Linked DNA regions of Xenopus tropicalis. The protein of the gene in region 1 interacts with the protein of each later gene in a pairwise test. Links are inferred from orthologs where the notes say so. Each region holds a gene or a part of one and is shown on either strand. Other genes may lie near its edges.

Evidence for each region.
Region 2: the proteins of zbtb25 (region 1) and sephs1 interact in binary tests that used the Homo sapiens proteins (3 or more experiments, as listed by UniProt). The two-hybrid records come from large-scale screens. The link is inferred for Xenopus tropicalis from reciprocal best matches to the Homo sapiens genes ZBTB25 and SEPHS1.

Annotation. Positions count from the first base shown.
Region 1 is NC_030684.2:101,006,584-101,010,860, reverse strand, and holds the start of zbtb25 (zinc finger and BTB domain-containing protein 25), read right to left. Parts: upstream 3,069-4,277; 5' UTR 3,030-3,068; coding exon 2,921-3,029; intron 1,234-2,920; coding exon 1,056-1,233; intron 1-1,055. UniProt on the Homo sapiens protein: May be involved in transcriptional regulation.
Region 2 is NC_030679.2:81,800,823-81,804,652, forward strand, and holds part of sephs1 (selenide, water dikinase 1), read left to right. Parts: intron 1-1,731; 5' UTR 1,732-1,798; coding exon 1,799-1,991; intron 1,992-3,830. UniProt on the Homo sapiens protein: Synthesizes selenophosphate from selenide and ATP.

The DNA.
Region 1 (4,277 bases):
GATGCTACAAGTCTAAATGCAAAACGTTAAAAATCTACAAAATATGAAATGGAAAACCTGTATGTAATGTTAACTAACTTATGTGAACTTCATGTTAATGACTGGCAGCTTTTGTTGAACCAAATCATTCGGCTGTAACCCTTTACAAAAGATTCATCTGAATGCCAAACCAAATCTGGGCCATAATTTGCATATTCAGATTTGATCAAGATATCAAAGATCTGCATAATCCAACATCAACTGTAATTTTTAAATTTTTCTATGCTCACATGATTTCAGATATGTATTGGTCAGGCTGAACCAATTCCTGGATACATAACCAATAGCCCTGTATATAAAAGGTTATAGTAATGACCTTGTTTCAATCTTTTCTAATCTTATTTTGAAGGTGAATTATATTGAATATTGGACAAGGGAGTGCTAAGCTTACTAAAATATTTTTGGGACCCTATATTTGACTGGACCTATAACCTGTGCAGATAAATTTGGAGATGTACACAGGGCTGCTCCACAATTTCCATAAAACTGACTCAAAATACTGTAGCTAAAGTGTTGGCAGTCCTTATGTCTCCACTCAGTTGCTTTTCAGTTTGGCTGACCCTTATCTATTGCTATTCCTGTACCTGCACTAGAAATCTCCCAAAAAGAAGAAGCCTATTGCATATACACAAATGGATCCTTGCACAATAACATTGGGAGGCATGGATGATGAAAAACACAAAGCTTTCATACATAAGGCCTGCTCCTATAACAAATCACAAATTGGCCTGTACACTGCACTCCATCCTTATCTGCAAGTAATTTGAGGATTTGTTTTGCATATTAAGTTTAGATTTTATGGTGCCGTGTATTTGTTCCAGTAAACTAGACAGGAAAACACCCAAGGTTAGTAATGGGCCCTAATATAAAGGCTGTACAAGGTGACTAAATAATACCCTTTCCATTATAGAAGCCTCTCCCTGGATGTGGCAAGTCCAAAGTGCATTTTATTTGAACAAATGTTGTTTTTCTGCTCGTAATGAATAAGCTGTCATGATATTTAGGTCATAACAAACCTGGACTGGTGAATGAAGATCATCTTGAAGTAGTTTGAAAATGCTGCAAGAACTGCTCTGTGTGCTTTAAAATATACATCTCCAATTGCAACTGTGCAGTCACAAAGAAATCCAAACTCACGCTGCATATTCAGCTGCTGGAGAAGGACTTGACTGTGGCAAGAAGAATCCATAATTTCTTTAAAAAGAACAATAAAAAAAGTATGGTCAGTACATATATTTGAACCGTTTATGGGAGTTATAATGTATTTATGCATGGGCATGAGAATATGTGGAATAGGCAGTAATATTTAAAAGAAAGAGGGTCATTATGAACAGCAGAGGAGCCGTTGACATAATACAAATATAATACAATATGAACACCCAAATTCTTGGAAGCCCTTCATCACATACAATTTTGTCGCCCAGTAATACAAAGCTTTTGTGAATATTGCATTCACTGCATGTTCAAAAGCATTATAAATAAGGCATGGCCTCAAGTAAACTATATAAAATATAATTTTTCTATAAAACTTTGTTGTTTCAGGATGTGCTCATATAACTTATAAGGGACCTTGGCATCAAAATAAGAAAAGTTTTTATTTGTAACTAAAAATAATATAATATTTATTGATAAGTATAAGGGTTAAATTCTTCAAGCGCTTTTGTTGGATAGTGTTGGATCAACAGAACGCATCTGACAAGTTGGATAAAGTTGTGCAAGTCAAATTATAATCAGAAGGGAACGCTGCATGATGCATCTGCATCTGAAAAGATAAAAACTGATGGCATCGGAAAGACTGTTTTTTACTCTTCGAAATACATTGACCATGACACACATGTAGACACATGAACAAAAGAAAAAACTTTATCTGACCAGATATTACATTAAACTCTAGAGAGATCAGATTTTTTAGAATCCTACAAAATCTTGTGCTGTTGCATGCTGGATCAGGTTAAATCTGACCCACAAAATCTGATCAAATATGCTAGTGCAGTTTAGCCCTTAGTGATCAGGTAGAAATTCCCCTATGTGCTCAAGGCTACCAGTAATGACTGTCTCAATTGTAATTTATCTCCTTCCAGCTTTTCTCAGAAATGCACTCTGCCACAGCATGTGAGAGAGATTATAGGTGTTTTTACAGTTCTGCAGATCAAGGGGGGCAGGCTGGGGTCTTTTTATACAGAGTAAAATAAAAAGAATTTCTCTCATTACATATAACACAAATGCAGTTTTTCATAGGCTGGAACCACTACATAATACACCTATAAGGTTACTCCTCAGGGGATTTCTGATCATATTCTTCACGGTTTAAGAAATAGAGATCTGAAGTACAAAACTGTGCGTCTGCAGGTTGTACATTTCTGATAACTAGTAAAATATCTATGTGGGGCTCATTTATAAACATGGCAAAATTAGCACATGGGTAGTAATCCATCAAGCAATCATGGTTTATCGTTTTAGCCAGCTGCAGGTTGAAAACAAACATCTGATTGGCAGTCTTGGGTTAACGCCCTGGCACAAATTTGTCCAGTGTTTATAAATGCACCTTCTAAAATAGCAGTCACATGATATGATTTTGACTTAAAAAAAAGTCCCATCATTAAAAAGCAGAAAGACTGAAACAATAAGAATTTGCAAGGAAAATATTTTAACACTTGAATTAAGCCACATTTTTCAATTTATATTTTAAATCAAGAACTTGGTATAAGACGACTTTATTGAAAAAAGTCAGAATGTTAGACGGCACATTAATTCCACCAGCTAAATGACACTGTTACGGCGGCGTCTTCTCTACATGCTGCCCAAGTATTTCCAGCAATCTTGTAGCTGCGCTCCCTTTTCATTTTATTAAATGCGCAATATGCGCAGCGCCAGCTCAGACCTATAATCCATTGAAAGTGCAGAATAGTGGGAATGCCATTTCCGCACTGCGGCCAGGGCCGGCTCAATAAGCCGCCACTAAGAAAACTCACAACAGCACAACCATTCATAATGAAACCGAGGAGTAGGCGGGGACCAACGACTCCCTAAGCTCCTCCCACCATAGCCCGCTCCCCCATGATTCCCCGCGTTCGCTCACCGTGCACAGCAAGCTTTCTCCCAGTACTTGTAGAACTGCTTGTGGCCACCGGCTCTCGTACAATCTCGCGATGGTACCATCAAGGGGGCAGTCATGTGACCGTTCCTTATGGCTAACTGAGAGTATACTGTGGCTCTTGCGGTATCTATAGGTTACGATAACATTTAGTATTTCAACTTTTGGCTGTGCAAGCTGTTTCCAGCTGTATCTCAAATTAGTGACAAGTCGTACCTACTCACCTCCAGCAAAGGGGTGCCAAAGTTACTTTAAGGGTTGGAAAAGTATTGACGGGCCATAGGTACATGGGCGTGCTGGGGTGGAGACTTACGTAAGCTGGGACAATGGAGACTAATGGATGGGGCGCTGCCCAGAGTTCCGTGTAAGGTGCAGCTTGTCAGACATTTTCTGGATTTTATTGTTTGGAGAAGCCAAGTTGTCCCGCATAGTTAATGGTTTCTATCAGAATCCCTAAAATGAATGCAGTTGATATATATTTATACAACTGGAAAGAAAGTGTTTTGCTGCCTCAAACAGCCCAGTCCACCATATGCAAGAAATTGATGCAGCTGCTGGCCAAGCTATACACACTTACAGCTAATACAGAGAATACAATGTGTCATGTTCTTCTGCGTAGGCACCAGGAATATATGCTTCTGATTGGCTCCCACTGCCCTTAAACATGGCACTTAAGTCATTTTCTGTTGCATGTCTGTGTTATAATTATCCTTTCTCTAATATATTTGTGTAAGTACTATGGTCAACAAACGCCACTCGCCAAGGTGATATTTAAAGTATATTTAATGTGTGGAAAAGAGTTACAAAAGTTACATACAAATTACCAGTAATTAAGCCAGTCACAAACAATATTGACAGCTTCCCGATACAATACAAAGTATGTATGTATTCATATAAAATAGTCAAAATGTATGCATGTGTGTTAGAGTAAATGTGTGTAAGTGAGAGCTTGTGTGAGTGTGTAAGGGTTTGTGTGTCTGTATATCTGTGAGACCAGCCTTTTGTTGTTGATATACAGTATATCCCTGCTGGAAAACCCTCCCCCACTGTATTACCCTTAAGACCATATGTTTCCGATCAACCACATTCCAGACTTAGGGAACAATGGTATATGTGAGGGATAGTGTATGTATAGAGGTATATA
Region 2 (3,830 bases), on another chromosome or scaffold:
ATATTGATTTATGGTACCTTATTAGGGATTGACTACATAGTACAGTTTTATTATTACAGAGAATAGGGAAATGCTTTCTGGATGTCTGATTCTGAGTAAGAGATCCCATATATCTATCAGCAGATGTTAGCCTACATTTTTCGTTAGTTTGTTGCTCACATGATTCATTGATTTGAGTGTGACGGCAATGAATGAATTTGTGCACAGACTTGCCTTGTGTAATTACCTTAAAATAGTAGACCTGCCCTTGTCAAACACTGGCTGCAAAATACTATCACTACATATTGTGTTACAGAAAGTTTTGTACAGAACTTATACCTTACTGCTGTCTTGGATGGCATAATTGATAAGCATAAAGATATATGGTCACCATAGACTGCATATTGTAATTGTTTACACTGATAGCTGAGTAAACATTAAATATTGTGTAACTGACAGATTTTTTTTCCATTATATTAATAGCTATTACCCATACTAACCCTTCCTTCCACTCATAGGGCCCTGACAGACAGGGAGATTAGTTGCACAAATCTCCCTTGTCGCGGGCGACTTAATCTCCCTGATTATGCCATCCCACCAGCTAGAATATAAATTGTCGGTGGGATGGCATACGCAGCGCGGCGTTTTGCCGAAAACATTGACGTTGCCTTGAGAGGAAACTTCTGTGATTTCGGCGCCGCGTATGCCATCCCACCGGCGATTTACATTCTAGCCGGTGGGATGGTGTATCGGGGAGATTAGTCGCCCGTGACAAGGGAGACTTGTTGCGCGCTGACTAATCTCCCCGTCTGCCACGGCCCTTAATGAACATGTAGGAAGGGTGGGTTAGTATGTAGGATAGCTATTAAAATAATATATTATAATATAACAGAAACCATTATTGTATCTGCTTTAACTGTATTTTTTGCATATTCTAGAACCGAAATATGTTGATTCATGTCACAGGTTTTCTTTATTAAATTTAATAGTTCTTGTTCAGTACCAAGCTAAAATATGCATTTGGGCTGTTAGAATTGTCCATAAAGTTCTGAGCTGCCCTCTGGTATTTGCAACCACTTCAAGCCAGAGTTTAGGTGCAAAAACTGGATCCTACTTACACGTTCTGTATTTGTAGCTGTTTCCAGCCTATGTATTCTGCTGTCTGTCCTAACTTAGAAAAATTAATTAAAAGTGACACAAGGCCAGAAGTGTCATTCTTCAGTGTCATAGCTGAAGTATATAAGTTCTCAATACCTCTGACTGATACAGCTGTAGAGTGACTGCTTCAACTGGGCTGGGCAACTAATTTACTTACAGTGGCACTAATGTCTCAAATCCAGAATGGCAGCTTACCACCACTTTCATCTAAATGTCTGAATTTCATAGACAATACTAAGTAAAAAATGAGTAGAAACCTCTTCGACCATCTTCACTGTCAGAAAGAAGAGAGCTCAGCAAAGAAATAGAGACAGAGCTTCACACTAGACTAGGAAGTAGCAGAGAGATCTTGAGTTGAGCTGCTTGTAATACAGAATGTGCATGAGAGTATTGTTCTGGGCACTATTTAGAATCATTTTAGATACAGGAAAAAAAGTTTACTTATTCTTTCAAAATAGGTATTGCAGCATAACTCAACATGATAACTATAAAGTTGGAGAAACTGCAGTTACTCTTTAAGATAACATTTTCTTTCCTATGTAATGTAGTTTATTTAACAGTTCAGCCTAATTTGTCTTTATTTTAATTGGCTAGGTTTGTTGGAGAGGCGATATTCATTCGATAAGCACAAGGGGGGGATTAAGCAATTCAGTCAAAAGCCATGTCTGTTCGGGAGTCTTTCAATCCAGAGAGCTATGAGCTTGATAAGAGCTTCCGCTTGACTCGCTTTGCAGAGCTGAAAGGCACTGGTTGCAAAGTTCCTCAAGATGTTTTGCAAAAACTACTGGAATCTTTGCAGGAGAATCACTTCCAGGAAGATGAACAGTTTCTAGGTGCAGTCATGCCAAGGCTTGGTGAGTATATGATATTTATTAGACCCCAAGCTAATAAGAAAGATACATCAATAATTTAATAAAATCATGTTCTCTTTTTCATTTTTATTGGGTTATGTCATACAGTCACAAAAGTAGGTTTCTGTGTGATGCTGTTTAGTTATTGCAGCGTATATTTTAGTTGTGAATTAATTTTCTCCAAGAGGAAGAGCAGACCACCCAGCTAAGACAACCTTAAATATTTTTCATTGGTGATATTTCCTTTTAAGGTTCTTTTAGAACTAAATAATATTTTTAAAAAATGCAATAAATTTTGATGTTTAACACAAGAAGAATCAGTCGGGTAATAAGAGAAACAGACTGATTCTAGATTAGGAAAGGGGTTAGGAATGGCTTGCACATGCGCCATAAAGTGAAAAGCCAAACTTTAACAAAAAAGCCAGTCTTTTCACTCTACTGTGCATGCACTGGCCCCGGGATTACCAAAAATAGATGAGAAAAGGAAAAGGATCGCTACCCTGGGCCACTGCAGTATTCTCCCAAGAGGAGCACCAACCCAGGGTATAAGGTAAGTGATTACAATCACTGGGGAGTTGACTAACATTTTGGTACACACCAGTTATTGTAGCTTCTTCTTTAATGTGGTAAATTGGTTGGTTAAATATTCGTTCTGGGAGTATAGTTTTCCTTCATGTGACCTGATTTTATTGAAAAGCACATTCTTAGTGGTGTTCTATGCAGTGGCTATTGTTGCTTGATTGGATAGAATTATTGACAGTTTAACTAAAACATCAATTTTGGAAGAGCCAAGGTGGCAATAAATTGCTTTATCAAAGGGATATTGTGTTAGCCAGACCTGTGTTCTTTCAGGTGTTTTCACAGTGATGCAAAGTAAAGATTACTTTTAAAATTGATCTTACAAAGAAACAGAATATGTTGGCCTTCTTCCAAGTAGTTAGTGTACTCTAAGGATTATAGAACCTGTTTGCCCATTTGTTGCTTGTAAAATACATAGCCACGATCATTTGGGATAGGGATGTGCATACAAACAGCTACAGATCCCACATCCCACAATTCATTAAACTGGTGCAAGAATTTGTGTAGTGTAGTTTGAATCATCTAAAGCAGCACTGTACAAAGTGTTTATTTTAAAATAATCTGATCATTTTAAATTGATGACATCATACAAAAAATATATGCTACCTAAGGCAAATATTGCTTGATAGACGTATTTAGTACATGCAGCCTTCAGTGAATTTTTTGCGTGGACTCAATATTTTTCCTTTTGTACCAAAGAAATATTTCTGGAATAAGTATATTTACAAGTACTAGGTACAGTTTATCCAGAACTTTTCAAGGGTTGAGATCCATGGGTAGATAGTGTTTTGTTTGCTTTTGTTTTTGCTAAAAGTATAACTATAATATAAATGACATGGACATTATTTATATTCTGCTTGATCCCACGTTCTGTTTATTTCTATTGGATTTTTAGAAGCATATTTATCAAATGGTGAGTTCTAACTTTCACTCATTGATAAATACACTTCTAAAAATCCCATAGGAATGAATAGAACGTGGGTGAGTTTTTTTTGTATTAAGCTCTAAACTCACATTTTGATAAATCTGCCCCTTCAAAAACTTAATTTCCTCACAGAAATACACTGCAACAAGCAGTCTGACAGCAAATGAGAAGCTACAGCTCATCTAATTTCCACATCTGCTGATGAACCAACTGTTTGCCTTAAACAAGCTTTTCATTTTGAACAGGGTAATTGCAATTTAAGAGAACTTGTCAGTCACTAAAAAGGAAATATGGATGTATTAGCATATCTCCCTCCCTCAGCCTAGTGTTACCTTCCC